Saccharomyces cerevisiae S288C: one gene and its partners. Changing the gene in region 4 together with the main gene of any one other region gives a genetic interaction. Each region holds a gene or a part of one and is shown on either strand. Other genes may lie near its edges. The genes, in order: ARE1, ERG3, OPI3 and ARV1.

Region 1 (8,380 bases), on a different chromosome or scaffold from region 4:
TTCCTTGGGAGTACAGTAGTGAGATATTGCCCATTAGTGACCTGTCATTGTTGTTGTTACTGTATATGTCACTCGTTCTTGCAGCATCTTCATTGAAGTATTGGTCGCCCTGCAGCACAAGCTCGTTTTGCTTGGAAGACCATAAGTAGTGAGTCAGCGTTTCTCTTGGATGCAAAGACAGTTCGTGGAAAAACTGGTATTTTTGAGCACTAGAGTTCAACTGCAAGGCAAGCTTTGTGATTTCACGTAGTTTTGCTGTGTCTTCAGCATCTGTTTCTTCCTCTTTTTGTAAATTTGGCTGGGGTTGAGGCTGGTGGAGAATGTGCGACACATCTACATCCAAGGTGGTAGCACCATAGGTGGTATCTTTGGAAAGATCAATTGTATAATCTAGGATGATGGGCGGTAGGGGTGATACCAGTTTGTTCACGGTTTGCACAACATTCATCAAGGGGAGGTGCGCGGCGTTTGTATCCAATACCTTTTGTAAGAGTGAATCTAGCTTCACTTCACCCAATTCGGGCTTATCCTTTGGAGTACTTCCCTCGACGCCATCATCGTCACCAGCACCGTTTTTATTGTTATTCTCGTTACTGCTGTCTTCGGCATCGTTGGAACCATCTTGAGCCTCTGTTTGTTCCGTAACAAACAGATTGTTGATCAAAATGTACTTGTAGATCGAATAAACCGCGTCATTAACGGAGCCCGTTTGCATACCTATCAAGGTAGCTAAGTTGGGCGAGTACTGTACTTTTCCACCGTCGACACCCCTCAACTGGATGGTTATACTGCATCGCAAATTATCCTTGCCTTGCCTCTTGATGTCGATACCATCAAACTCCACAACGTTGTTTTCATCGTAGTTCCATTCCAGTGCGTCTACAATTTCCTCCCTGGATTCTGCCTCTGCACTGTCCTCATCCTCGCCGTTGTCGTTATCGCCCATGGTGCTATCTTGATCATTGTATTCGGGTTGTTGCAGATTCAAAGGAAGGCTCAATGACGAATCGCGTTTCCTCTTCTTGCCCATGCCCAGCGGTTTCAGTCTTTTAAAGTCGACCGCGACACCTTCCAAAAACTCACTAAATGGGTGCTTTCCGTTTGCGGACTCGTGCAGAAGCTTACCTTCTATTCTCAGTGTCCATGTAGTCTTGCCTGAGTCCGCTGGGGTGCCAGAATCGCTGCGAGGGCTGCTTTCCGTAGTGTTGTAGACGTAAATCCTCAGCATCTCTTTATTGGGGGGATGGTCCTTGGTCTTGGTGTTTGTAGGTAAATTGATGGACGTATCCAGCCTCCTTCTTGTCAGATACAAATCTAGTCTGGAATCCATTTCTATCAATTTTTTCAAATCTGCCAGATTGGAGACCTTATCATCGGGCAGATACGTGGGGATATAAGCATCCGTTGGATATGTAACAGGGACCGGATTGGTCTGTGTTACCATTTCTATGAGCTGTTTTTCGTGCTGTATTACTATACGAAGCTGCCTTGTGAACTGTATATTTGTTGCTTTTCTTTCACTCTACAACGTTTTTTTCATTCTATTTAAAAACGCGGTGAAATTTTACCTTGTAAGAACGTCTATTAATGTACAGAAAAGATACATAAGGGAAAAGACTATGTAAGAGAAAGAAGTAGTTCATGTAGCGTCGCGTTCAATTTCTTTTAGCAAGCTGTAAGAGCCTTTGTGCTGGGTCGTTATTTTCTTCTCTTGGAATCTGGTTCGTCCCCGGAACCCGCCATGGAGCCCTGGCCCAGCATCTGCTCTCTGACCATAGCACGGATGTACCTTTCCAACTCCTCCTCAGCGTTGTCTCCCGTAATGATCTGTTCCAACTGCCTCCTGCGTTGCAGAGTGGCCTCATCGGCTCCTTCCTCAGGGTCATTTTCCAAGGTGTATCTCACGTTGTCCTTGAACTCTTCCAGCAATTTGCTGTCGATGACACCCTCACCCTGCACGCCGTCCACTCCGTGAACATCGGCCACGCCGGACTTAATCCTCATGTACTCGATTAGCTCACCATCTTCACCGTTCTCGACGAACGAGTCGTATGGCGTTTGGCCCTCCACATTCCTGATAGTGAAGTCTCCACCCAGCTCTTCCACGATCAACCTGGCAGTGGCCACATCCTCCACATGGTGCAACGGGGTATCGCCGTCGTTGTCCAACACATTAATGTCTCCATTGTACTCATTGCACATTTTCTTCAGCAAATCCAGGTGGCCGTATGCGGCGGCAGCATGCATTGGAGTGTAGCCGTTAATGTCCTTGGATTGCGGGGTCATGGCGCCTTTACTCTCGCGGAGGATATGTTCCACTCGGTCCAAATTACCATCTGAAGCAGCCACCCATATATTAGCGTTCATTTTGTCGTCACAACACCTATAATCATCGATTTTTGTCACCTGCAAACTCTTCTTGTTCTCAATTATATCAAAGGCATCGAAAATTTTTGGGGTTATGACAAGGAAAAAAAAAGTATTACCCGAAACTTAAACAATGAATGGTATATACTATATTGTAAAGTTCTAATAATATATATAAATATGTATATAGATATATATATAGACCTAGGAGCTCTTTGCCCCTGTCTTTGACCACGGTGGAGCGGACGCCCATTCCCTATTGTATATCTATCAAGGGCTTGCGAGGGACACACGTGGTATGGTGGCAGTTCATAAGGTCAGGTACAACGTCATAATGATACTGGGCCCTGAACAGACACCAAACGAAAAGACAACGTTGGACAACTGCGGTCTTGCCCGTAGAAACTTGGTGTTGCTCAAAGCAGTCCACACAAACTGCGACAGTTGGAACATGAACAGATATCCTCTAACCCTTCTGAAAATGGCGAACATGGCCATTTCGTGGAACACGGCACTCAAGAAAAAAGTAAATAATGTAGCTTGGCTCTTGCTCAAATGCAATGCGCCCATGGAGCTGTGGTACACGTGTCTTAGTAAAAATTTGTGAACGGGGACGTTCCAGATTCTGCTAAACTCTTCAAACGAAACGCAATTCCACCAGTCGCCGTAGAAATATCTGTCCGCAAACCTGGTCAACTCCGCCACGCAATTCAATAAAGCGTCCCATATCATGTAAAACGTGAGCATGTACAGAACAGTGAAGCCCGGAATCATGTCGAAGAGCAGGTGGAACCACTCTTGCGTGGCGGGGATCCAGCCGCCGAAGGTGGGCGTGTTGTGGAACTGGATACAGCGCATGGCCACCGGGTGCATGAAGAACTGTGCCGTGACCATCATGAGGAAGATGGTGCCAATGATGGCGCACACCTTCTCCAACACATACCTCCATCTGATGCGCGACGTTCTTGGGTAGTTGATCTGGTACACGAGGACGGGGAACAAACAGAACATGAAGAAATTGCTGCAACTGATGTTGTTGGGGAAGTCGTTATCCTTGGTCTGGTAGTTCAATTCGAAAAGGCAAAAGTCGCAACTTTTTTGCAGAATCTCGCGGGTCTCTGGGGACAAAGATTCCTTGTATTTTTGCAACTGTTTGGAAGAGTACTCGAGTTCCTGCTTTATGTCCCAAAGATACCCGTTGTAAAAGGCAAACGAGTGGCTCTTCATAACAAACACCACGGAGTGCAGGAACAGGAAGATTCTCGTGACCCAGTTGAAATCAAAGTAGTAGACGTAAATGGGGAACGTCACGGGGATGAAAGCCAACTCGAAGATGCTCACTGCAACGAACCCAGTCCACTTCCAGTTGATGATCCGCTTTTTCACCAGCCAGTGCACGAAAACCACGAAGAAAGTGCACAGGAACATTGCCAAGTCCAACATTGCGATCGTGAACAAGTCCGTTGTCATGTACTGCACGATTTCCAGCTTATTCCATGCACTGCCGTACGACGCATAGTAATCTGTGCAGCACCTGATGGCTATCCAGCCCAAGAACATCCATGCGAACACGTAGATCCCTGAAAAGTTCGACTCCAGTTTTTCTCCTGGGGGGGCATCTGCCTTGTCCGTTTTCTCCGTAGTCTTCACCGTAGTCTTCACCGTGGCCTTGGTCTTGGTCTTTGTCAACTGTAAATTTTTGAGCTGTTTCTCCAGCACCGGACCTTTGAAAGTCGTCTGGAAGGGCACGTTGATGGCGCTGTCCAGGAGCGTGGGGCGAGGATCAAAACTCACGTCCCCAAAAAACGACACATACTTGCTAGCATCCTTTCGGTGGAACCTCGACCGAGACTTGCTCTTCAGGTGTGAAAGGTACTTTTGCATGTGGGCGTCCACAGGGTACTCCTCCTCCTGCTCCTGCTTCCCTGCCACACGTTCCGCCTCAGTCGACTCCACTCCTTCAGTCGACTCCACTGGCTCCACCAGCGACGTGGTAGACGACCGTGGCGAAACCTCCATGGACTCCTGTGGCAGGATCACGTTATCGTACGTGACCGAATGCCGTTTGTTGGCTTCTGCGGAATTGAGTCTGCGGATCTTAAGAAACTCTTCGTCTTGCAACAAATCCTTAGTCTCCGTCATTCTTGCAATCTGTTTTGGCGCTCTTGCTGCAAGCCGTGCTGAACAACCACCTGCGTGAGTGTGCCAATGGCGCCCCTTTCCTCCACCACGCTCGTCCTTCTTATATCATCCGCATGTTGCCAGGGTCTGCTGGGTGCTATTGTTCGCTAAACGAGTCCAACCACGGCCGGGTATTTGATGGCCAAGCCAGATTTTTTTTTTTTTTTCACTCTACACCATCTCACATTTTTCAATTTTATCGATAAAAAGAAGAGATGAGCAGCACATACATAGTGTGATAAAGAGGAAAAAAGCAGAAGAAGCAGAAGAAGAAGAGCATAGTAAAAAAGTAGTGCTAAAAAGGTGCGGTACGGAAACACAGGAAATATATCAGAGAAGAAATAATGTCACGTCCTGAGGAGTTGGCACCACCGGAGATTTTCTATAATGATAGCGAAGCACACAAGTACACGGGTTCGACCAGAGTGCAGCATATCCAGGCGAAGATGACGCTGAGGGCGTTGGAGCTTTTGAATCTGCAGCCGTGCAGTTTCATTCTGGATATCGGGTGCGGGTCCGGACTGTCTGGGGAGATTTTGACGCAGGAGGGAGACCATGTGTGGTGTGGTTTGGATATATCGCCCAGCATGCTTGCGACCGGTCTTAGTAGAGAGCTGGAGGGCGACTTGATGTTGCAGGATATGGGCACCGGGATACCGTTCCGGGCGGGCTCGTTTGACGCGGCTATTAGTATCAGTGCGATCCAATGGCTGTGCAATGCGGACACTTCATACAACGATCCTAAACAGCGGTTGATGAGGTTTTTCAACACATTGTATGCTGCACTGAAGAAGGGAGGGAAATTTGTGGCCCAGTTCTACCCGAAAAACGACGACCAGGTGGACGACATACTGCAGTCTGCCAAGGTGGCAGGGTTCAGTGGCGGGCTTGTGGTGGACGACCCAGAGTCTAAAAAGAATAAGAAGTACTACCTTGTGTTGAGCAGTGGGGCCCCACCGCAGGGGGAGGAGCAGGTGAATTTGGACGGTGTGACCATGGACGAGGAGAACGTCAACTTGAAGAAACAACTGCGCCAGCGCTTGAAGGGAGGCAAAGACAAGGAGTCTGCCAAGAGTTTCATTCTAAGAAAGAAGGAGCTCATGAAAAGACGTGGGAGGAAAGTTGCGAAGGACTCCAAGTTCACCGGGAGGAAAAGAAGACACAGGTTCTAGAAGAAACACACATCCTCACACGCATATTCTTTTGTATACTATAAAAATACACACTTATACATTTCCCTCTGTCTCTGTCTCCTTCTACATGTATACTTGTATATGTATACTTGTATATATACACTTATATCTGTATGTGAGTGGTCAATGGCTCCGCGCACTTTTATGTAGTGATGTATTTTCCTTTTTTTCTTGGTTTTCAATTTTGGTGCTTTGGAACTCCCAGTAAAGAAGAAGAAGAAGAATCGAGTCTTCCCTCTGAGCAGCTGCTGAAAGGGAGAGAGAACCATAGCGATGTGGAGCAGGAACGTCAGATTGCTTGGATCATGGACAAGGTCCTACATGGTCCCCGCCACCAAGAGAAAAACCATCCCCGTGTACCCACCTGTGCAGCGCATAGCTTCGTCGCAGATTATGAAGCAGGTGGCCCTCTCAGAAATAGAGTCTCTGGATCCCGGGGCCGTTAAGAGGAAGCTCATCAGTAAAAAGAACAAGGACCGCTTGAAGGCAGGCGACGTGGTCCGGATTGTGTACGACTCGTCCAAGTGCTCGTACGACACCTTTGTTGGCTACATCCTTTCCATAGACCGCAAACAACTGGTGCAAGACGCCTCGTTGCTGTTGCGGAACCAGATAGCCAAGACGGCCGTCGAGATTAGAGTGCCATTGTTTTCGCCGCTGATCGAGAGAATCGACTTGCTAACCCCCCACGTCTCGAGCAGACAAAGAAACAAACACTACTACATCAGAGGTACAAGGTTGGATGTCGGCGACCTCGAGGCAGGTCTAAGAAGAAAGAAATAGGCTAGGCGCGGGTTCTGTGGCCACCCATCTCCTGTATATAAGAAAAATAGTGCGTGTATAAAATCTACGTATACTAACTATGGGTAAAGTAAACCTTTTTGTACTGTTTTCTTTTTTTTTTTTTTGGTTTCCCGTAGTGATGACGTACGTGTATAGAGAATTGAAGCGAAAATAAAAAAAACGACACAAAATATTGTTCTCATTGGCTTTTTTATTTTCTATTTTACACAGCATATAGAGGTATACTCAAGTGCTAGACATCCTCTAACATCCGCCAAGAAAAACAGCAAAAAAACACTGGTCATGAAGCCACAGTGCATACTCATCTCTTTGCTGGTCAACCTCGCATACGCAGAGGAGTATTTGGTGAGGTTCAAAAATCCCACAGCATTCCAACAATTCACTTCGAATTCCAACAGGTCATGGAGACAGTTCATCGACAACAAAATTGAGAAGAAATTCTCCATCGGATCCTTCCGCGGCGTGACCATGAACCTGTCCAAGAACTTAGTGAACAAGCTGAAGAAAAGCCCACTGGTGGCTGATATTGTGCCCAACTTCAGGTTCGAAGCTTTTGAAGGCGACAGTGTAAATAGCGCCGAGTCGAGTTATACGTTTAACGCTACCGCCAAATACTCGTACGAAGACGTCGAGGAAGAGCAAAATATAACGTATCAACCAGACGCACCCCGTCACTTGGCCCGGATTTCCCGCCACTACCAACTCCCATTCGACGTTGGGGACAAGGACCGCTACAAAAGCTGGTTCAATTACTACTATGAACACGACTATCAAGGTCAAGACGTCAACGCCTATATCATGGATACGGGTATCTTCGCGGACCATCCGGAATTCGAAGACAGAGTCATCCAGGGGATTGACTTGACCAAAGAAGGGTTTGGCGACCAGAATGGCCACGGAACGCACGTGGCGGGACTCGTAGGTTCCAAAACGTATGGAGCGGCAAAGAGGGTCAATCTTGTGGAGGTCAAAGTCTTGGGCAAAGACGGGTCTGGCGAGGCCAGTAACGTTCTTAGTGGTCTGGAGTTCATCGTGGAACATTGCACAAAGGTCAGTCGCCCACAGGGTAAAAAATGCGTGGCCAATCTAAGTCTAGGGAGTTTCAGGAGCCCCATAATCAACATGGCAGTGGAGGGGGCCATTGAAGAAGGTATTGTATTTGTTGCCGCGGCGGGGAACTTCAATTTAGACGCCTACTGGGCCTCACCTGCGTCTGCAGAAAACGTTATCACCGTAGGGGCCTTTGATGACCACATTGACACGATTGCCAAGTTCAGCAATTGGGGGCCCTGTGTAAACATCTTTGCCCCAGGCGTGGAAATTGAGTCGCTATCTCATCTGAACTACAACGACACTTTAATTTTGTCAGGTACATCTATGTCGACGCCCATTGTCACCGGAGTTGCAGCGATCCTACTCTCGAAGGGAATTGAGCCTGAAATGATAGCACAGGAGATTGAGTATTTGTCCACGCGTAATGTTTTCCATAGAAGAACGTTGTTTTTCAAGCCTTCTACGCCAAACCAGATTCTTTACAACGGCGTCGATAAACTGGACGATCCATATGACGACGAAACGTTCCCTCGATTGAACATAGAGGCAATTGCTAAGGAACTGGAGGAGTACAATGCCACTTTACAAACTCCTATGTCTGAGAATCTTCAATCTGGTTCAAAACTGTGGGGTTGGAATAACGATGTCACACTACCTCTTGGTGAGATTCGATTGAAGAGGCGTGATTTTATGAAAAATTTGTAGTGTTTTTCTCTTTCTCTCATAAATAAATTATTGCATAATGTCATGTCAACATTAGTTTTTTCGCTCTTCTCTTGCGT
Region 2 (7,875 bases), 370 kb from region 4:
AGACACAATCCCGCTTTACAAGCACGTAATCCAAAAAAAGAAGCTGCCCACACTGCTTATAGTGATATCAAAGAGAGCATAGCTCAATTGCAATGGTACATGGACAACTACTTGAAGCCACCACAGGAAACAGAGTCGGTCGAGTCAATCGGATCTGAACAGCCGGAGTCACCATCTTCATCTACCTCATCTTTGAAAAGACAACGCACCGATTTTTAATGTAGAAAAAAAAAAAGAAAAAAGAAGTGAAATTTTTCAAATATTTCACACACGAAACATGACTCCTGGTGAGAAATGACCCTTTCAGGTTGCTTTGACCATAAAGGTTTGACTCTATCTCTTGGGTTTCTCATGTTCGCTTTTTACTCTGTATAATTTTTAAATTCATAATCATCTTAGACCGAACCATGAGTCTTCTTCATCTTGTTTTATATATAATGCAGAACTTGCTTCCCTTAGTTTGCGTTCAGTAATCTTTCCTTCTTCTAGTGTAACCTTTACGAAAGATACTACCCCATAGCAAAGCATAACAGCTTAAACCGAATCCTCCTTAACATGCCTTACACTCTATCCGACGCTCATCATAAGTTGATCACCTCTCATTTGGTGGACACCGACCCTGAAGTGGACTCCATTATCAAGGATGAAATTGAAAGACAAAAGCACTCCATCGATTTGATTGCTTCTGAAAATTTCACCTCAACCTCCGTTTTCGATGCCCTTGGAACTCCATTGTCCAACAAATACTCTGAAGGTTATCCAGGTGCTCGTTACTACGGTGGTAATGAACACATTGACAGAATGGAAATTCTATGTCAACAAAGAGCTTTGAAAGCTTTCCATGTTACTCCAGACAAATGGGGTGTTAACGTCCAAACTTTATCTGGTTCTCCTGCTAACTTGCAGGTTTATCAAGCTATTATGAAGCCTCATGAAAGATTGATGGGTCTATACCTACCAGATGGTGGTCATTTGTCTCACGGTTACGCTACTGAAAACAGAAAAATTTCTGCTGTTTCCACATACTTCGAATCTTTCCCATACAGAGTTAACCCAGAAACCGGTATTATCGACTACGATACTTTAGAAAAGAACGCCATCCTATATAGACCAAAGGTTCTTGTTGCTGGTACTTCAGCATACTGTCGTTTAATTGACTACAAGAGAATGAGAGAAATCGCCGACAAATGTGGTGCTTACTTGATGGTAGACATGGCCCACATTTCTGGTTTGATCGCCGCAGGTGTCATCCCATCTCCTTTCGAATACGCTGATATCGTTACCACCACCACTCACAAGTCTTTGAGAGGTCCACGTGGTGCTATGATTTTCTTCAGAAGAGGTGTGAGATCTATCAACCCTAAGACCGGTAAGGAAGTTCTATACGACTTGGAAAACCCAATTAACTTCTCTGTTTTCCCAGGTCACCAAGGTGGTCCACACAACCATACCATTGCTGCTTTGGCCACTGCTTTGAAGCAAGCTGCCACTCCAGAATTCAAGGAATACCAAACTCAAGTCTTGAAGAATGCTAAGGCTTTGGAAAGTGAATTTAAGAACTTGGGCTACAGATTAGTTTCCAACGGTACCGATTCTCACATGGTTCTAGTATCCTTGAGAGAAAAGGGTGTTGATGGTGCTCGTGTTGAATACATTTGTGAAAAGATTAACATTGCTTTGAACAAAAACTCTATTCCAGGTGACAAATCTGCTTTGGTTCCAGGTGGTGTCCGTATTGGGGCTCCAGCCATGACCACTAGAGGAATGGGTGAAGAAGATTTCCACAGAATTGTTCAATACATTAACAAGGCTGTAGAATTCGCTCAACAAGTTCAACAAAGCTTGCCAAAGGATGCTTGTAGATTAAAGGACTTCAAAGCCAAGGTCGACGAAGGCTCTGATGTTTTGAACACCTGGAAAAAGGAAATTTACGACTGGGCTGGCGAATACCCATTGGCTGTGTAAAGAAATCACCACAACGACACTTAATCCCAAAAAAATAAACATTACTGTATAAGTATTCATTTTCTCCTCTTCTCATTATGTATATATGTACCTATATGTATGTATGTATGTGCGTACGATTTTTCTAACGTTAACTTCATTTCTTTTTGATTATGTGCCCTCCTTGAGTTAAGATGTGTTTGTCCAGGGAAACCTTGTCACCATCGCTGAATAGTAGCAAATAGTATTTTAATGTTCTGGAGAACCAATAGCTAGGTAAATCATTGTTCACTTTTTCACCGTTTTCATAAAATTCCTTTATTTGCCACAATCCTTTGGCACCACTGTTTAGTTCCATTAATTCTTGCATTAAGATTCCAAAAGACTGCTTACCCATGCTTCTCCATTTTTGTTCTCCACTGATTCTGTACATATAAAATATAGATTCAATGATATTCGAATCCAACAATCTTCTGGATTCTACCTTGTTGACCCAAAATGGCCAGTCTGGATGGTTTTTCCACTGAGAACCCATGGTATCGTCCGTTGTAATATGCGGTTTGATATCCTTACCAAGCGTAAAAACTCTACGTATTTGCGTTACTTCGTCGCCGTCTATTTCAGCAATCGATTTCGAGCTTCCAACAGTATCACCTTTTATGTTTTGAGTCTCTGTTATCCCATCTTTGCTTAGTACATTTCTCTTAGCTTTCTGGTCATTCCCACCTTTCCCATAATTCGAAACTTTGATCCCGACATCTAGGTCATTTTCAAAAGTTTCATATTCGCCGTTGGCAATCATTCGTGATTTAGTTTCGCCGTTAAACTCGCAATTCCCATTAGTCTCATCAGTGCAAGGGTCCAACTCGAATTTTTGAGGGAGCAGCCCGTCGAACTCCTCCATTAGCATAAAACAACTTTCTGTTATTATTTCGCTCATTTCCAATAGTGACGATGGTAAAATATATTTCGTGTTGACACCGCCTCGGTGGGGAACACGTGAACTTAAACCTAGAATGCCGCCAAGTCTGCATGAGTATAACGAGACATCGTAAGATTTTCTTATCGTGACATCTAGCTCATTAGTCGTGGGCATGAATTGAGATTTTGTTAGAATGGAATTCAGAAAATTAAACTTTTTGTTTTCCGTTTGCTTGGGCAACATGGGTCGAAAAGTCATGAATTTAAAAATGTTACTGATGGAATTTGTTAAAAACGTTTGCGAGTCTATTAATGATTTATCACCTACGGTGTTTTTTGTCGAATCTTTTTTAGTACCGTCTTTAAAGTTTCTTTTCTCAATTATTTCGTCGACTGCTTCTACCTCTGAACCAATACTGGGGTCCATCGTTGCAGCATTAGCATTTTTACTTGAGCCGTCCAGGATATCATAAGAAGATTGGAAGAGGTCATTGATTTTGAATAGATTTTCTAGAATGGGTACTGTTTTTTCATTAATTCTATAAGCCTGGTATTGAGATTGTTCTTGGAGGCTATTATCATCTATTGGAGGATTTAAGAATTTCCCTAACTGCTGACAGTGTACGAACTTGAAATTTTCATTGATACTTTTCATGATGCTGGATCCCTTTAGGTGTGCACCATTCTCAATTTCCTCTTGAGTTAATAACTGGCAACCAGAGGCATCAACGACGTCAGGCAGCATAAACTCCATATCAAATTCGTTATATGATTGACGTATAGTGGTGAAAACTCTTTCAACAGCATCAAAATACTTATTCAAACGGGTTAACTGTGACAATCTGATAAACGCGAGTGCCATAGTAGTCAATTGACCTGATGGAACAGTACGGTCTGGAAATCGATTTCTCAGATCAGATTTCCAAAAATATTTCAAAATAGGAATTCTATTAGGGGTATCAAATGATCTTAATATGAAATCTGCAACATGTTTTGCTTTGTTAAGTAATCGTTTATCCATAGATAATTCGTATGCAGACAGTAACCCTTCTAGGACACGGGTAGTGATGTCAGGAATATCAATAACTTCCATTGCTAACGGAGGTACTCGAAAGTCAAAATCTTCTATTATATTAACAGAATCTTGAAAAAGTTTCGTCTCGCCACATAGATACAATGTATCTAGAGAATCAATTAGATCTATGGGCCAAGTAGATTCCCTTCTGAGGTTACTTTTCAGCAGCAACTGCTCTTGGTTCCATGATTTCATGAAAATGTCCTTTATCTGTTTTATCATATCAACATCTGGTGGCAATTGCATTGCCGGCTGTATCTTATGAACGTCATTCTGGCTTATAGAAGTTAAGGAAGGTGATGAGTATTCGAACAAGACGGGATACTTTTCCTTATATGTCAAAAGAGACGAAATTGGTAAATTCGAACCAATCTGGTGAGACGATCCCTTTAACAGCAAGGGAAAGTACTTGTTTTTTTCTCTCAATGTAGCTGGATCTGACAAATCCACTGCAACGTTGCCATTTTCCTTGTCGGTGGCTATTCGGTCAGAACCGGTTGACGATAGGTCTGGAGGATCCAGTTTCGAAGAACCTTCTGTATTGTGCTCATAGTTGTTTATGGACGGTAGTGAGTCGTTTAAAGCGTACGAATTCAAGATATCGATTTCATTCTGGAACGTATAGTAAAACAATAGCGATATGGTAATGAAAAGTAAGAGAACCGATCGTACTCTTCTGAAAAGAGAGTATACTAATCGCGCTATGGACATAAGGTTTTGCTTATAGAGTAGTGGCGGCCTTTTTCTAGTTAACACTTGCGCTTCACCGAAATCTTGGGCATTTTAAAGCTTCCAGCTTCCTATTTGCCTGTTCTTAAATTTTCCAGCTCTTCGATTTTCTGTTTTTTTTTTCACTAGAATAGGAAAAAGAGCCATTAAATGAACGCAAAAATTTAATATACGAATAGCGCATATTGCACTAACGTGAGGTGTACATCATAATGATATGCGTATCTTAAAACATGTATGTGTATATAAATATATAAACGTTATTCGTTGTGTGAAAGTTCTTGAACGTGAAAGAAAGAAAAAAGATGAGACAAACAAGGCAACCGTATTCAGTTGTTCTTCTTGGTATTTGGGTCGTTTTCATAGATTCTATCATTATCATCACCTTCGACCTCCTTGATGAAATGTTCAACTTCCTTAACTTGAGCGTCCCAGGTCTCCTTAGCATCTCTTAACTTAGGATCAAACAATGAGTCATCTGGTCTACGGTAAGAACCCCCTAGTCTGTCCCACAGAGTGGTGAATTGACCGTAGTTGTAGTTGAAATATAGATGGTGAACCGTGTGGCAGGCAGTACCGTTGACGGCAGGATTGTTTGATAGGTATTGACCGTCATGAATCATAACAGTCCAAAAGTTAACAAAAGTGAACAGAATCAAATAAGAAACCTTGTGTAATGGCAGAATCAATGGGTAGATGTGGTACGAGATGGATTGCAAAAACCCGTCTACAGGATGGAAAGAATGAGATGCGAAAGGTGTGCAGACCAGCCACTTGTGATGAGGCTTGTGCAGAGCACGGTAGACCCTTGGCCAATGCAACCATCTGTGCGCTAAATACACACCGCAATCAGTGAAAAAGATGAAAGTGAAGTACTCGATAATGAGCTTCCTTACACCGTGGTTTTCATAATCAATCTTCATGTATAGTTTAGAATGGCCGTTCAATTCCATAACAAACCATGGAACGGTCAACATCGACATCCATGGGATAGCACTGACTGCCAACTTGATTTCCATTGCCATTTGGTTTTTCAAGTAACGAGGATGGTTGAAAATCGACTTGTCAAACACAAACACGTAGCTGAGACTAGCCGTGAATAAGTAAAGTAGTAAACCAAAGATCGTAACAATAACCCATAGTGAGAGGAATTCTCTCAAGATGCTGGAACGAGGCAATAGCGATGCAAAAGACGTCGTCGACATATCAAACAGGAATGGCACCTGCCCGTAGAACCTTCTACATTCTTTGACGGCATTCTTGGAGTTCAAAGTCTCCTGCAAAATCGTAGAATTGCTGAACCCACTGTTCAACCCTAGCAATTTCTGCCACTTGACAGGAATATTAGCTGCCAACGAAGCGGGCAGAACTTTAGCGTACAAGTCGTCTAAGACATAATGGTCAGCGACTTCTAAGACCAAATCCATATCTCAAATCTAGACGAATATTTTTCTTATTATCTTTTTTTACAAATGCAACAAACTGACCTCCTCTGCAACCACTTCAAAGAACAAGACAAATGTAAAGAATGAATGAACAAGTGAATGAAAAAACGAATTGATAAGAAAGATAGAAATCCGCCTCTAATATATACCGCGATGTTTCTTTCGACCGTTACATAATAGCAGCAACAACAATACCCGATCGCTGCTGAACCTCTTGTTTCAATGCACCTGCTGTTCTTCTTCACCTTCTATTGTGCCACTTATACGAGCCTGAATTTTTCGTTTATCGCAGCCATCGGCCTCGTATACACCCCGGTTGCCCTGGGGCGCAACTAAACGACCGAAATAATGCCCGGGAGTTTTCGGGTGGTCTGCCCCGGGCACCGATCTCGGTCGTTTAGGCCGCAGTGGGTCGTGCCACACGGCAGCGATGCAAGGGACAACGCGTCGTAACTTGCGATGCCCGACAATCGCAACAAAAGGCGTCGTTTCGCGGTTTTTTCGTATCATTTTTTTTTTCAGTTTTTCTTCTTTCGGCTATGAAAAAAATGGCAGAGCTGCCCTAATCTATTTTTATGGATGCCCTAATATATTGTCACTCTGTACGTAGGGCTTCCAGAATGCCCTTTCAGGAAGGATTCTAGCATAATAGACGCATCATATATTATAGCGTAGTGGTGCCAGATGCTGGGCTGTAAAAGGCTGTAGCAGTAACTGTAGTGTACTAAAGGCTCAGTTTTTTTTTTTTTCTTCTTTTACGTAATGGACGAGGTTGACGATATTCTAATTAACAACCAGGTGGTGGATGACGAGGAGGATGACGAAGAGATGCTGAGTGGGCTGGAAAACGACTCAAAGCAGGACCTCGAGGGGAATGATGACGGTGGTGAAGATGAAGAGGATGACGATGATGATGATGAGGACGATGATGATGACGAGGACGAACGAGAGGACGACGATGAACAGGAGGACGACGATGGTGAGGACGACGCCGCAAGAATGGATAAGACTGCTACACCGACGAATGAGCACCAGCATGATGAGCAAAAGGCTGCTGCTGCTGGTGCTGGCGGTGCAGGCGATAGTGGCGATGCTGTTACTAAGATTGGATCCGAGGATGTGAAATTGAGCGATGTTGATGGAGGAGTGGGGTCCAGGGAAGCATCTTCCTCTACACACGAAGCCTCTGCTAATGGAGAGGTTTATGAGTACTATAAGCACATGTTGAATGCCGCACAGATTGCGGATTCGTACAATATCTACCCCACGGCAGCCATACCCATCCAGACGCACGTCAATGCGTTGGCCGTGTCCAGGGGTCTCAAGTACCTGTTTTTGGGCGGTAGCGATGGATACATAAGGAAGTACGACTTGCTGAACACGCTTGAGGGGAAACTTTCTCTAACTATCCTGCAGAAGCATTCGTTGGCTGAGTCTATTCAGAACGCGGGTATCTTGCAGTCGTACTGGGAAAATGAGATCCCGCAGAAAAAATCAGAAATGAAACTCTCCGCTAATAAGACAGATTACGAGCCCAAAGTTAGCCCCGTTCATTCTTTGGAAGTCCAAAGCGAATGCCTCTTTATACTGAGCGGGCTACAGAATGGTGGGATTACCATGCAGGGCGTTCGCTACATGGAGGGGAGCATTGCGCACTATTTTAAGGGCAGGAATGGACATACCCAAATCGTTAACATACTGAGATTAAACGGTCAAGAGGACAGGTTTTTGAGTGGTTCCTGGGATAAGCGTCTTTTGGAA
Region 3 (7,458 bases), on a different chromosome or scaffold from region 4:
GTACCAAACTGAAGTCTTCTGATATACTTGGTTCTCCAGTCAGCTCTTTGAGCGTCTTCCTCAACTCCAACTATCAACCCAATGTCGGATGGCGACAACTCTTCAGGAATCCAGTTTGGAATTGGCTGAACAGGGAACGTGTCGATGTCAGCATAAACACCTCCATGAACTAACAGTATTAAGTATTTGAAAAAATCTATCTTTAGGATGATGGAGGGCAGAGCTTCGTAAGTCTCTAGGATTTCCGGTATGGAGTAGAAGTAGTGGTGTACTAGTGCGTTTATCACGTCATGGTTCAACACTTCGTGCGCAAAGCCCGGATTCTTGCTTTCCCACATGCCCTTTATATCTTGAACACGCTCGGGACCTTCATCATTGGACCAAGTTTGCCAAATAAATGCTGGGAACTTGACATGGGAATCGTAGGGGAAAGTCATAGCTATGCGTTCTCTTAGGGTGGCCTCCGGAGGTGTTTGTTTCAAGTCTTGGATTTTTTTTTCCAGGATCTTACGTTGTTTATCAAATTGCTTTGCTTGAACTTCCTGTTGGTGTCTGATCTCCTGAGCCAAACTCTCAAAATGTTGAACTAGATCAGAATCCGAACTCTGAATATTGTTGGCACTATTAATGCTTTGGGAAATCTCTTTGGGCAAGTTCTGCAGAATTTTTTGTAAATCAGTAGCATTAGAATTGTGAAATAGGTATCTAACTCCAAATGCTAATGAGATGAGGGCTATTATGGCGAATATCATCAACCTCCTGAAACTGGAGGCTCTTTTTGTTGTTTTGGCCATCGTTAACCGCTACAGTCTATATATCTATCTGCTGTCTTCCGAGTAGAGTGCCTCTTCTCTGCAAGAATACGTGCAAAATGGAAAGAGAGGAATGTTCATTATGGTCACTGTTATTTTTTCACTTTCTTCGCTGCTGGGAAATTTCGTTATACTTATCGGAAAAAACATGTAATACGCTATATAGTAGAAATAAAAAGGTAATATAAACATAAGGTTAAAATTTGAAAGATTAAGCAAACAGCGACGTGTCCACAACGTGAAACTTCCGTACCATTTCTTGCAACAATTGGTAAACAGCATGACATCTTGCAGGCAACTCTTTGTTGCTTGCTTGCGACGCCTCCTCCTTTGTCAAAGGTACATTAATGGAGATGACCACATCCGTGTCAAACTGGGTTAATCTGATCAACGCTACGCCGATGACAACGGTCTGTGCCAGATCTGGTTTTCCCCACTTATTTGCTACTTCCATAACGAGTCCGGTGAACTTGGTTCCTTGCTGAACAGTGTCTTCTTGTAAAGCTTCCCATTTGGTGGTCCCGTTCAACTCCGTCAGGTCTTCCACGTGGAACTGCCAAGCCTCCTTCAGATCGCTCTTGTCGACCGTCTCCAAGAGATCCACGATAATGCTTTCATTGGTGGCTAGTCCATCTTCGAATTCTTCTTCATCGCGACGGGAATTGACGTACACCTCCTGTGTATCGGGGACTTCTCTTAGAGTAGAAGCGTCTATAAACCCAGGTGGGACGACAGTAGTGATGGCGCCGCCGTATAATTCGACTTCCTTGTTGTTCATGCTTCCTTGATGACCAGGGTAGGTGTCAATGAGAGTGCATGTGGAAAGTTGCACCGGTTGTGAAATATGAGAAGCCTTTTCAATCTTCATATGCAAACCCACACATGCATCGTTGGTTTCTGTCCACTGCCACTGCAATGACCACTGGATAAGGGGTCTTTATAAGAGAACACATATGAAGAACATGAACGTTCTTGGACAGAGCCATAAACAGCAATTGAAGACAACAAGAATAGCGCAAGTCAAGCGATGAAGGAGTCAGTCCAAGAGATCATCCAGCAACTCATCCACAGTGTCGATTTACAGTCTTCCAAGTTCCAGCTGGCCATTGTGTGCACGATGTTCAATCCTATCTTTTGGAACATCGTTGCAAGAATGGAATACCACAAGCATTCTCTCACCAAGATGTGTGGTGGGGCCAGAAAGGGCTGTTACATGTTGGCGGCGACCATATTTTCGCTAGGTATCGTCAGAGACATGGTGTACGAGTCTGCATTGCGTGAACAGCCTACGTGTTCTCTGATCACGGGCGAGAACTGGACCAAGCTGGGTGTGGCTCTCTTTGGTTTGGGGCAAGTGCTTGTTTTGAGTTCCATGTACAAGCTGGGTATCACAGGGACGTACTTGGGTGACTATTTCGGCATCCTGATGGATGAGAGAGTCACCGGCTTCCCCTTCAACGTTTCCAACAACCCCATGTACCAGGGTTCCACTTTGTCCTTCTTGGGCATAGCCCTTTACAAAGGAAAGCCTGCGGGGCTGGTTGTTTCTGCCGTAGTTTACTTCATGTACAAGATCGCTCTTCGTTGGGAAGAACCTTTTACTGCCATGATCTACGCTAACCGTGATAAGGCCAAAAAGAATATGTAAGTGCTCTATTTCTATATATTCTATAATGTTAGAAGCCTATGCTATTACCGTTTCTATATAGCTCCATAAGCAATTTCTTCGCGAAAGTGAAAAAAAAAAATTTTAATGCGATGCTCTATTTAACAAGGAATACAATGAGAGCATCTAGCGCACACAAACAACTACAAAACGCAATAACGACACAGCAAGAATGAGTCTCAGCACAATCATATGTATTGGTATGGCCGGATCCGGTAAAACAACTTTCATGCAAAGGTTAAACTCCCACTTGCGGGCAGAGAAAACGCCACCATACGTAATCAATCTTGATCCTGCAGTATTGAGAGTCCCCTATGGTGCAAACATCGATATCAGAGACTCAATCAAATACAAGAAAGTGATGGAGAATTACCAGCTAGGTCCGAACGGTGCCATTGTCACCAGTTTGAATTTGTTCAGCACCAAGATTGATCAAGTTATTAGGTTGGTGGAACAGAAGAAGGACAAGTTCCAAAACTGCATCATCGACACTCCAGGCCAAATCGAATGTTTTGTGTGGAGTGCGTCGGGTGCCATTATCACGGAATCTTTTGCCTCCAGCTTTCCCACAGTGATTGCATATATCGTGGATACGCCTAGAAACTCATCCCCAACTACATTCATGAGTAACATGCTGTACGCCTGCTCCATTCTGTATAAGACCAAACTTCCCATGATTGTCGTTTTCAACAAGACCGACGTGTGCAAGGCAGATTTTGCTAAGGAATGGATGACGGATTTTGAGAGTTTCCAAGCAGCAATCAAGGAAGATCAAGACTTGAATGGTGACAATGGGCTGGGCTCCGGGTACATGAGCTCATTGGTCAATTCTATGTCACTGATGCTTGAAGAATTCTATTCCCAGCTAGACGTCGTGGGCGTTTCCAGTTTTACCGGAGACGGATTCGACGAATTTATGCAATGCGTAGACAAGAAAGTTGATGAATACGACCAATACTATAAGCAAGAACGTGAAAAAGCATTGAACCTAAAAAAGAAAAAGGAAGAGATGAGAAAGCAAAAATCATTGAATGGCCTGATGAAGGATCTAGGGTTAAACGAGAAGAGCAGCGCTGCAGCCAGCGACAACGACAGCATAGATGCCATTAGCGACCTCGAAGAGGATGCCAATGATGGTCTTGTGGATAGGGATGAGGACGAAGGCGTTGAGAGAGAATACACGTTCCCAGGCGAAGAAAGAACAAAAGGTGAGGTCAACGAGAACTCTGCTCCAGACCTACAAAGGAGATATCAGGAAGCTATGCAACAAGTAGGGAAAACGGCCAGTAGCGAGACTGCAGAAAATATCGCGAAGTATATTAGAAACTAAATAACTACGTATAGTCCTTTGGTTCGGCGATCATTCGACCCGCAGAGAAAAAAAAAGACAATGGAATTGCAAAGACGAACGTCAGATAAACTCCCACGTTTATTATCTTTTGAACAATAGAGGTAATCCTTCCACAGAAATCCCTGTAGAATGCAGTGAGAAACAAGAAAAAAAAAAAATTTTTTTTTTTTCTCTATCCTGCGTGGGAGGAAAGAAAATTTTTCTCGATGAGCTGAAAAGTTTTTATCATATAAATTACATAAGGCAAATCCAGTGAATACACGTGTATATTTGACGGTAGCTCTAGGTTTAGGTTAGGATAAACTGTAGTCCTTCTAACATACCACGCAAGAAAGAAAAAAAAAAACATGTCTACTAACTTTGAAAAACATTTCCAAGAAAACGTCGATGAATGCACTCTAGAGCAACTAAGGGACATCTTAGTCAACAAGTCCGGCAAAACAGTTTTGGCCAACAGATTTAGAGCTCTGTTCAACTTAAAGACTGTTGCTGAAGAATTTGCCACTAAGCCAGAGGAAGCCAAAAAGGCCATCGAATACATTGCCGAATCCTTCGTCAATGACAAGTCTGAGTTGTTGAAGCACGAAGTGGCCTACGTGTTGGGTCAAACCAAGAACTTGGACGCTGCTCCAACTTTAAGACACGTTATGTTAGATCAAAATCAAGAACCAATGGTGAGACACGAAGCCGCTGAGGCTTTGGGTGCCCTAGGTGACAAGGATTCGTTGGATGACCTAAATAAGGCTGCTAAGGAGGATCCACACGTTGCTGTGAGAGAAACCTGTGAACTGGCCATTAACAGAATCAACTGGACCCATGGAGGTGCCAAGGATAAGGAAAACTTGCAACAATCCCTATACTCGAGTATTGACCCAGCCCCACCTCTACCATTAGAAAAGGATGCTACCATCCCAGAACTACAGGCCTTATTGAATGATCCTAAGCAACCTTTGTTCCAAAGATACAGAGCCATGTTCAGACTGAGAGATATCGGTACTGATGAAGCAATCCTGGCCTTGGCCACTGGTTTCAGTGCAGAATCCTCCCTTTTCAAGCATGAAATCGCCTACGTCTTCGGTCAAATAGGTAGTCCGGCTGCTGTCCCAAGTTTGATTGAAGTTTTGGGCAGAAAGGAAGAAGCTCCAATGGTTAGGCATGAAGCTGCTGAAGCCTTGGGTGCCATTGCTTCTCCAGAAGTTGTCGACGTCTTGAAATCTTACCTCAACGATGAAGTCGATGTCGTCAGAGAATCTTGTATCGTTGCGCTAGATATGTATGATTACGAAAACAGCAACGAACTAGAATATGCTCCAACTGCTAATTAGAAGAATCAGCATCATCAATAATGATAGTAACAATAATCATTGTATAATCTTGTATTTTATACTTTTCAAAACCCGCCATTTCCGTTATATATACAAATGTATCAAATAGCAAAAAAATTATTTATTTTCGAAACCGTTCTCTCGAGCTTCAGCTTTCAACACTGGTCTTCAAAGCATAGGAAACACTCACATAGAGATATCTAAAAACGAACGATAGCAGAATGAGCAACAACGAAATTGTATTTGTCACTGGCAATGCCAACAAGTTAAAGGAAGTGCAGTCGATTTTGACTCAAGAGGTCGACAACAACAACAAAACCATCCACTTAATCAATGAGGCCTTAGACCTGGAAGAATTGCAGGACACGGATCTGAATGCCATTGCGTTAGCTAAGGGAAAGCAAGCTGTTGCGGCCTTGGGTAAGGGTAAGCCAGTGTTTGTGGAAGACACTGCGTTGAGATTTGACGAATTTAACGGTCTACCAGGTGCTTATATAAAATGGTTTTTAAAGAGCATGGGATTGGAAAAAATTGTGAAAATGTTGGAACCCTTTGAAAATAAAAACGCTGAAGCAGTTACCACCATTTGTTTTGCTGATTCTCGGGGTGAATATCACTTCTTTCAAGGTATTACAAGAGGCAAGATCGTTCCAAGCCGGGGACCCACTACATTCGGCTGGGATTCAATTTTTGAACCTTTTGATAGTCATGGACTGACTTACGCAGAGATGAGCAAAGACGCAAAGAATGCTATTTCTCATCGTGGTAAAGCCTTCGCTCAGTTTAAAGAGTACTTGTATCAAAATGACTTTTAGGTGATGTGCTGAGAAGATAAGAGGAATTATGGATAGATTTTTTTTTTTTTATTCTTACTTTATGTCGCCTCTATATTCAATTATATAAAGATGCCTGTATATTAGAGTTGGGATATTTTAACCAATAAGTTTAATAATTGGATGTGCTCGTTCGTTCCGTTGTTTAATCTGGAATCCGTAGTAAACAGCAACCAAGATATTTGATTTTTGAAGTTCGTATCAAAGTTATCGTTGGTGATGTAATATTCATGTAGTTGGTTAACTACTGACGCAGCAGACCAACCGCTTTTCATAAACGTATTGACGTATTTCTTAATCTCATCAAAATCACCACTTTTGACTTTTTCAACAATTTCTATTAGAATGTCATGAGGTACCACACCAGCTAATTCTTCCACTTGGGTAGAAGTTATGTTTTTACCATCACCCAAGTATTGCGCCCCCTTGGAAGCGGATTGTAATAATGTAATGCCTCTTCTCAAGTCACCTGCCGAAATGTCCAAGATCCTTTCCAAAACTCCATCATCACATTTAACATTTTCTTGTTCGCTGATAAACCTCAAACGGTCAATGGCATTACTTGCGTCTAGGGCTTTGAATCTAAATTTGGAACAACGGGACGCTAGCGGGTCAATAATTCTTGTCACATAATTACAAATCAAACAGAATCTTGTTACTCCTGAATAGGTTTCCATTGTTCTACGTAATGCACTCTGTGCATCGGCAGTCATTGAATCGGCCTCATCGAGAATAATGATCTTATACGGTGGGCACGGATAGTTCTCCAAGTCATGTTTGCTAGGCTTGGATACAGTCAATCTTGCAAAATTTTTTACCTTTTCTCTTACAATAGAGATACCACGTTCGTCAGAAGCGTTCAACTCCAATATTCTTGATTTCATCAAGTCGGGTCCATATAATTCTTTTGTTAGCGCTAAAATGGTAGACGTTTTACCAGTTCCTGGGGGACCATAAAACAACATATGTGGTAGATTAGCTGACTTTAAGGTTTTCTTCAAAACAGTAACGGCATGATCTTGAGCTGTCACTTCATCTAGGTTTTTGGGCCTGTATTTCTCAACCCAGGGTTGTTGTGCCAATGATTGCTCTGCGGCTAACTTTGATATCTTACGCTTTTTATTTGGACCAAACCCTTCAAACATCTCAAGTGATTGCCAATACTTTCCCCCAGTATTTCTCGCTGTCTCTCTATTTTACTTCTCTTATAGCATTGACTTGTTCGCTTGAGTTACTTCCTGATTGCTTTGAAATACGCGAAGTAAAAGAGTGAAAAATAACGATGAGAAAGGTTTTTGATAGAAGAGAACAAAAAAGGAACAGTGTTACAATAGTATATAGAGATGTCGAATACTTGGGACGATGTATGGGCATCAGACAGTGATGTCGAAACTGAACGATCTCCAGATTTAGTGAAGTTAAGAGAGAATCATAGCAAGAGGGGGTACTTGGACGGAATAGTGAGTTCTAA
Region 4 (7,800 bases):
GATAGAACGATAAGGCTCTCAGGCATCCCGATAGAGCTTCGTGATTCGGAAGCCTTAAAGACCAGAATTGAACAATTAAAAATCGGCACCGTTTCATCAATCACTATTTGTCGAGAGTGGGGTCCTTTGAACAAGCTATTTCATTGTCGGAAGAAAATACTCAAAAACCTGGAATTAAAATATTCAGAATGTCCAAGGGAGCTCCGTACTCGACAACCATATTCGGAGAACTATCATTTATTGGGAAACGAGCAATCAGGCGCAGTTACACATGGAGAAAATGTTCCATCAAGCAATAATAATGACGAGGATACTATACTATATTCTCAAATTTCTCTTGGAGAGAGACCAAAAATGAAAATTGGATATCGTGGTATCTTTGGGAAGGAAGTAGATGCCATAGAGTACCTGGAGCAGCAATTAAAATTTATTGATGCTGAAATTATTGAAGCGAGGAAACAACACTACTCCGCAACACCTACGGCATTCGTTACGATGGATTCTGTTGCTAATGCGCAAATGGCAGCTCAGGCGGTATTAGATCCTAGAGTACATTACTTCATAACCAGATTGGCTCCTGCACCTCACGATATCAAGTGGGATCATGTTTGTCTTTCTAGAAAGGACCGGTTAACAAAAGTTTATTCTACTACCGTATTTATAGGCCTTTCAAGTTTGTTTTTAGTCATTCCTGTATCATACTTAGCCACATTGCTAAATTTGAAAACACTTTCGAAATTCTGGCCAAGCGTAGGGCAGCTACTAAAAGATCACCAGTGGGCCGCTAACATTGTAACGGGGCTATTACCAACCTATCTCTTCACATTGCTTAACTTTGGAATCCCCTATTTTTACGAGTATTTGACTTCTTATCAAGGATTGGTATCATACAGCGAAGAGGAAATCTCACTTGTTTCAAAAAATTTCTTTTATATTTTTGTCAACCTTTTCTTAGTTTTCACATTGGCAGGTACAGCATCTAATTACTGGGCGTACCTCAGCGATACCACCAAAATTGCTTATCAACTTGCTACATCTGTGAAGGAGTTCTCCTTATTCTATGTCGATTTGATTATATTGCAAGGTATTGGTATGTTCCCGTTTAAGTTGTTATTAGTTGGTAGTTTGATCGGCTTTCCTCTAGTGAAAATCAAGGCTAAGACACCTAGGCAACGGAATGAACTTTACAATCCACCGATATTTAACTTTGGACTACAATTACCACAGCCAATTCTGATTTTGATTATAACGTTGATCTACAGTGTAATGAGCACGAAAATTTTGACTTCAGGGCTGGCGTACTTTATTATTGGGTTTTACGTCTATAAATATCAATTGATTTTTGCCACAGATCATTTGCCCCATTCTACAGGAAAAGTATGGCCATTAATTTTTAGAAGAATCATCGTTGGATTGCTATTGTTTCAATTAACAATGACAGGAACACTGGCAGGATTCGAAGGAGGATGGGTTTTGTCATCTTGCCTTTTCCCGCTTCCAGTAGTGACATTATGTTTCCTATATGATTTCGAGAAGAACTATTTGCCGTTGTCAAAATATATCGCATTGAGTTCAATTCGCGAGTACGAAAGAGACAATTCTACGGTGAATTCTGCCAATGAGGAAGAGTCGTATGCATACCCTTACGCTGTGAGTGAATTAGAGGGTCCGATGTTGGATTGAAATCCCAAGGTGCTATTTCTATATTTATATATTTTGTTGTGAAAATGCCAAAATAAGATTTTTGATACAAGTAATACTGGATATTTTTTTATTTGCTTATAACAATAAATAAGTTCCTGACTTCTGTAGTAGTAGTATAAACTCCTGATGTATTAAATTCTTAATAACTGAAAAGTTAAACTTTGCCACGAAAACTATAAGTATTGGCTTAACCATGAAATATCGTAATAAAGACACACTTATAAAAATCTTTATGATATTCCAATAGGAAAGATTAGTTACAATCTTCAACGATTCAATAATATAGAGATTAGCTACCCACTTAATGATACTCATCGAAATTAGAGTATCATAAGGCCATATCAACATCAATATCGGAAAAATTTTGGCACCGTACGATAATAAGATCGTATATGATATGACATCCTTTGAAGAAACGGAATAGTGCTTCCAATGCAACTTTTTCAGTATGAAATACTGGGTAAAGGTGTGGAATAAAGAAACGTCAAGAATACAATAACTTGCAAAGTAAAGATATTGTATTGGTGGGCTCCAGGTAAACACTTTACTTGTAATGGTATTGCGCATGATTGCCGAGTCCCATTTGAAGCTCTCTGGTAATTTTTTTGAAAGCATGATGAGCTTACCATCATTATTGTTACGGTTCAAATAGTAGATGTATTTACTCTCCTCAGTAACCCAAGTTAAATAAATCTCGAATGATAATAGTAGAAGCCAAAGGCGATTTAACCGGTCATATTTACAAAACCAGTTCTTTACGTTAAATAACAAAGCTTGCGTATAGTCACGCAAACACTGGCAATCATTTAGCGCTTTTCTTTTCGGATATTTTGAGAGATGCAATTCCAAAGCATTGAATACCAAGTGTCTATATGCACCTGCTTTTAATAGAAGCAAATCAATGAATAACAGGACATTATCTATCTCAACATATTTGTCTACTGTCTCTTGGCAATATGGACAATCTGTCAGCTGAATGTGGTCATTCGAGTACACTGTATAAAGGGAATCTACGGGCCGCATGCACGTTATGCAAATCATCGTTTATCACAGCTAATATCTACTTTTTGATGCGCTTCATCCGTTCACTGACGCACCAAACCTTCCTTCTATGCAATGACAAGAATTTCTCAGCTTGATTTATGCCATTGATGTTTCTGAATCATCAATTGTTCACATAGGGCTATTCAATTTGGCCCGCTGTCCCTAAACTGAAAAAATACTAAGAAAAATTTTGCAAAAAATCTAAAATGATGAGGTGAAAGATCAAAAAAGAAAGATCAATAATTAAGAGGTTGGCAAGTCATCCTGATCGTGAAAAAAACTTAACAAGTACAAATAGAGTAATCAGCATTGGAAAATGTCTCGCGTTGGTGTCATGGTATTAGGACCTGCAGGTGCGGGGAAAAGCACATTTTGTAATTCCATTATATCACATATGCAAACTGTAGGACGAAGAGCTCATATTGTAAATTTAGACCCTGCCGCAGAAGCTACCAAGTATGAATTTACTATTGACATTAGAGATTTAATTTCCTTAGATGATGTCATGGAAGAAATGGATTTGGGCCCCAATGGTGCGCTAATATATTGCTTCGAATATCTTTTGAAAAATCTAGACTGGCTTGACGAAGAGATCGGGGATTTCAACGATGAATATTTAATCTTTGACTGTCCCGGTCAAATTGAACTCTACACGCATATCCCTGTCTTACCGAACATAGTGCGCCATTTAACTCAACAACTGAATTTCAACCTTTGCGCCACATATCTTTTGGAAGCGCCATTTGTGATAGATAGCTCAAAATTTTTTAGCGGTGCACTATCTGCTATGTCTGCGATGATTCTATTGGAACTACCCCATATCAATGTGTTGAGCAAACTAGACTTGATAAAAGGCGACATCAATAAGAAAAAACTGAAAAGATTTTTGAATCCCGATGCAATGTTATTAATGGAAACGGAAGGAATGAATCAAGCATCCAACCCTAAATTTCTAAGACTGAACCAGTGCATAGCCAACCTCGTCGATGATTTCGGTATGGTTCAATTTTTACCTTTGGAATCTAATAATCCTGACAGTATAGAAACCATATTATCGTATGTCGATGATATAACACAATGGGCAGAAGGACAAGAACAGAAAGAGCCTAACGACCAAATAGATGTCGAAGAATAGTTATAGAGAAAATTATGTACGCTTGATTCATATAAAAAGAGGTAAAAAAAAAAAATAGCTTCTCATAATAACCAATTCGGACTCGGGAAAGTACAAGTTCAAGTTTTTTATTGGTTTCTATATGTATAAGATAAAAATACCTAGATCTATTTAATTCTCTGTCTTGGGCCACCTGGTGATTTCTTATTCCTGGCTGTTAGGATTTCAACACCATGTTCGGTAACCAACAGTGTATGTTCAAATTGAGCACTCAGTTTACCGTCTTGGGTGGTAGAAGTCCAGTCATCAGGCCAGGTCATATCCTTCCAAGTACCTTCATTAATCATAGGTTCGATGGTGAAAACCATACCTGGTTTCATAACACCAGGTGTTCTATTCTTGGCGTAGTGGGGAATATTTGGGGAACAATGGAAAAATTCACCAACACCATGTCCACAATAAGTTCTTACTACACTGCACTTATTTTCGGTAGCGTGTTTTTCAATATGATCACCTAACTCTTGGAAGGTGGTACCTGGCTTACACATTTTAATGGCTAGTTTCAAACATTCTCTTGAGGTCTCAGTAGTATTAAGAGCTTCCTTAGAAATGTTTTCGCCGACATAATATGTCTCATTCAAGTCTGCATGATAACCTTGGTAGTATAAGGAAACATCTAAATTGACAATATCACCTTCCTTCAAGACAGTTTTATCGGGCACACCGTGACAAATAACTTCATTGACAGAGGTACAAAGCGATTTAGGAAAGTTGTAATAATTAAGAGGGGAAGGGTAGGCACCTCTCTTAATTGTTTCATTGTGGACGATTTCATCTAATTCATCTGTAGTGATGCCTGGTCTGACATGGGCAGCGGCAATATCAAGAACTTCTCTACCCAACATACATGCCTTTCTAATCTTCTTAATTTGATCTTTCTTGTATATAGGGATGTTGTTAAGTCTATCATTTCTTTGTTCACTGACTGGTAGCCCATTAGCGGCCCAGTCCGGTTTAGGAATATCTTCAGGGACATACCTTCTTGGGGTAAGTGGATATGAAGCCTTCACTTTACCAGAATATTTGAATTTTGGGAAAGGATCATAAGCACCTTCCAAGCCGTCCTTAGCATTGTGCAAAGCTTTGTGAGCTTTGTAGTTGTTTTCATAACAGCTTGTGTCGCAGAAAATGGAAACGATGCCTTGTTTTAGACAAACAGGGCATTTCATTTGGGACGAAGTTTCTCTACCACATTGCAAACCGGAGCAATATATCTTGGTAGGATGAGAAGCCTGATCGGAGGTAGTAACTGTTGTAGTTGCAGTGCTCATTATACAATTTTTTTGCTTATTTTTTTCTTGCTAGGAATATACACAATAGCGTTCTTGGGATGAATAATAATAATATCAGTTTTTCTTCTTTATATGAAAAATGAAAAAAAAAAAAAATAAGTAAAAAATTTTCGCTTTCTTTTCGGGGAGCAGCCAAATAAAGATTGCTGCTAGTTTAAATGAGATGGACCAAAAGCCATGGGCAGCAGTTCTCCCATTGTCATGACTTTAGAACGAGAACCTGTGGAATTAAGCATGACTATTGGAAAGTCCTTGACCACAAATTCATTGATAAACTGCCTGCAAACGCCGCAAGGGGAAACACACTGGTCCTCAGAATCGCCACAAATGACCATGCATTTCCATCCTGAGCGATGGCCTGCCATTAGAACTTGTATCATAGCAGATCGTTCTGCACATATACAATTACTGTAGCTTGCATTCTCGACATTAGCACCAGTGAAGATAACATCGTTATTTGTTAATATGGAACAACCGACACGGAAGTGAGAATAGGGGCTATAGGAGAGTTCACACGCCTTCAGTGCCGCCCTTTTTAAGGCTTCCAGTTGTCTGTCTTCTATGCCACCTACTTTCATTACCTTATTTCTCTGCTTGAGATTCTCTGTTTGGTTTTCCTAGTTTCTTGTACATAAACAGTTTGTGTTTATTTTGTCAAACTACTCGGAAATTGGCGAGCAGCGCCTTATCAAGATTACAGTTTGCAAATATAAAAATGTAAAGGAAAGAAAGCGTAAGGTAACAAGAAGAGAAACGGGGAAGATAATGGCCTTGGTCTCTAGAAGGTCGACAAGATCGGAAAGCACCTCAATAACAAAGGAAGAGCATACAGGAGAAGGTTCATTGACGAAGTTGTTCTTCCGATGGCTTGTTACCTTGGAGGGTGATCAGGATATAAACGATGGAAAAGGTTATATATCGTTACCGAATGTCTCGAATTATATATTCTTCCTTGGTGGCAGGTTCAGGACAGTAAAGGGCGCCAAACCGTTGTGGTTAGGTGTTCTCCTTGCTATTGTATGTCCCATGGTTCTCTTCTCCATATTTGAGGCTCACAAATTGTGGCATACCCAAAATGGTTATAAAGTGCTGGTCATTTTCTTCTATTATTTTTGGGTCATAACGCTAGCATCCTTTATCAGAACAGCCACTAGTGATCCTGGCGTTCTTCCGAGAAATATTCATTTAAGTCAACTAAGAAATAATTATCAGATCCCGCAAGAATATTACAACTTGATAACACTACCAACACATTCTTCAATTTCAAAAGACATTACTATCAAGTATTGTCCATCATGTAGGATATGGAGACCACCTCGGTCTTCTCACTGTTCCACATGTAACGTCTGCGTAATGGTTCATGACCACCATTGCATATGGGTCAATAATTGCATAGGAAAAAGGAACTACCGGTTCTTTTTAATATTCCTGTTAGGTGCAATACTTTCGTCCGTCATATTATTAACTAATTGTGCCATCCATATTGCACGGGAATCAGGGGGGCCTCGCGATTGTCCCGTTGCAATATTGTTACTTTGCTATGCAGGGCTAACCTTATGGTATCCGGCAATACTGTTTACTTATCACATATTTATGGCAGGTAATCAGCAAACAACAAGGGAATTTTTGAAAGGTATTGGATCGAAAAAAAACCCTGTATTCCATCGTGTGGTCAAGGAGGAAAACATATATAATAAGGGGTCCTTTTTGAAAAATATGGGTCACTTGATGTTAGAACCAAGGGGCCCAAGCTTTGTAAGTGCCAGAAAGCCACATGAAGCTGGAGATTGGAGATTTATGGATTTATCGCCAGCACACAGCTTTGAAAAAATACAGAAAATATAAGGAAGTATAGATATAAAGAACTCAGCGACACAGTAGTACGTAAAATATAAAAAGGTTACTGAAAGGAGTGAATTCCGCCATAGTATAGGTTGAGTATACGCAAATAAACGTTGGAAATTGGCTAGAATGTTAAAAAAAACATTCATTAAAAGGTTCTTTTCGTATAACTTTTACAACAAATAAGTGGTTGTTTGGCCGAGCGGTCTAAGGCGCCTGATTCAAGAAAATATCTTGACTGCAGTTAACTGTAGGAATACTCAGGTATCGTAAGATGCAAGAGTTCGAATCTCTTAGCAACCATTATTTTTGCCTTCCGAAAATTTTGAAGCTACATATTAGCACTCTTCTTCAGATGTCAGACAACGTGCAGCATCTTTTTTTCCTACCATTGAATATATATATAGTAATTACGGCAACCGTTTATATAAAAATTCAAAAGATTAAATATTTTAATATATTAGTGTCTGGTTTAAAAGTCATACTTCTCTAATCACTACCGTGAAAAAAGCAGTTCCATAAGTGTTCATTACTGACTTCTTGGTCTACCACGCTTATCTCAAACTTCGCATCATCGCTTTCCTCATTATCCGTTTCATCTTGTGCTTCGTCGTATTTATCGCCTTTTTTTGACTTCTCCTTTCTTTTGCGCTCTTCGAGTATACATTTATATCTGAGGATGTTTTCTTCAACGGTATTTCTGATCATGAAATTCCACACAAAAGTTTCTTCATCTTGTCCTAT

The links.
Region 1: mutations in ARV1 (region 4) and ARE1 together harm fitness more than expected from each alone (negative genetic interaction), as found in Saccharomyces cerevisiae (5 studies listed by BioGRID, with this or other methods).
Region 2: mutations in ARV1 (region 4) and ERG3 together harm fitness more than expected from each alone (negative genetic interaction), as found in Saccharomyces cerevisiae (5 studies listed by BioGRID).
Region 3: mutations in ARV1 (region 4) and OPI3 together harm fitness more than expected from each alone (negative genetic interaction), as found in Saccharomyces cerevisiae (5 studies listed by BioGRID).

The regions. Positions count from the first base shown.
Region 1 is NC_001135.5:208,058-216,437, reverse strand, and holds ARE1 (sterol acyltransferase), read right to left. Parts: upstream 4,510-8,380; coding exon 2,677-4,509; downstream 1-2,676. Other genes in the region: RSC6 (Rsc6p), read right to left, coding at 1-1,444; YCR051W (uncharacterized protein), read right to left, coding at 1,699-2,367; YCR050C (uncharacterized protein), read left to right, coding at 2,666-2,974; BUD23 (18S rRNA (guanine1575-N7)-methyltransferase), read left to right, coding at 4,893-5,720; mitochondrial 54S ribosomal protein bL19m IMG1, read left to right, coding at 6,015-6,524; RRT12 (Rrt12p), read left to right, coding at 6,828-8,303. UniProt on the Saccharomyces cerevisiae protein: Sterol O-acyltransferase that catalyzes the formation of stery esters.
Region 2 is NC_001144.5:252,082-259,956, reverse strand, and holds ERG3 (C-5 sterol desaturase), read right to left. Parts: upstream 6,097-7,875; coding exon 4,999-6,096; downstream 1-4,998. Other genes in the region: REX2 (Rex2p), read left to right, coding at 1-219; glycine hydroxymethyltransferase SHM2, read left to right, coding at 556-1,965; putative mannosidase MNL2, read right to left, coding at 2,102-4,651; SAGA complex subunit SPT8, read left to right, coding at 6,877-7,875. UniProt on the Saccharomyces cerevisiae protein: C-5 sterol desaturase; part of the third module of ergosterol biosynthesis pathway that includes the late steps of the pathway. ERG3 catalyzes the introduction of a C-5 double bond in the B ring to produce 5-dehydroepisterol.
Region 3 is NC_001142.9:567,317-574,774, reverse strand, and holds OPI3 (bifunctional phosphatidyl-N-methylethanolamine N-methyltransferase/phosphatidyl-N-dimethylethanolamine N-methyltransferase), read left to right. Parts: upstream 1-1,839; coding exon 1,840-2,460; downstream 2,461-7,458. Other genes in the region: HOC1 (alpha-1,6-mannosyltransferase), read right to left, coding at 1-794; Ran GTPase-binding protein MOG1, read right to left, coding at 1,024-1,680; GTPase NPA3, read left to right, coding at 2,651-3,808; LIA1 (deoxyhypusine monooxygenase), read left to right, coding at 4,177-5,154; nucleoside triphosphate pyrophosphohydrolase HAM1, read left to right, coding at 5,376-5,969; RFC2 (replication factor C subunit 2), read right to left, coding at 6,071-7,132; YAE1 (Yae1p), read left to right, coding at 7,331-7,458. UniProt on the Saccharomyces cerevisiae protein: Catalyzes the second two steps of the methylation pathway of phosphatidylcholine biosynthesis, the SAM-dependent methylation of phosphatidylmonomethylethanolamine (PMME) to phosphatidyldimethylethanolamine (PDME) and of PDME to phosphatidylcholine (PC).
Region 4 is NC_001144.5:621,139-628,938, forward strand, and holds ARV1 (sterol homeostasis protein ARV1), read right to left. Parts: upstream 2,746-7,800; coding exon 1,780-2,745; downstream 1-1,779. Other genes in the region: CSC1 (Csc1p), read left to right, coding at 1-1,683; putative signal sequence-binding GTPase GPN3, read left to right, coding at 3,065-3,883; methionine aminopeptidase MAP1, read right to left, coding at 4,030-5,193; CDD1 (cytidine deaminase), read right to left, coding at 5,364-5,792; palmitoyltransferase ERF2, read left to right, coding at 5,980-7,059; E3 ubiquitin-protein ligase IRC20, read right to left, coding at 7,546-7,800. UniProt on the Saccharomyces cerevisiae protein: Mediator of sterol homeostasis involved in sterol uptake, trafficking and distribution into membranes. Also regulates the sphingolipid metabolism. Required for growth during anaerobiosis and sterol uptake.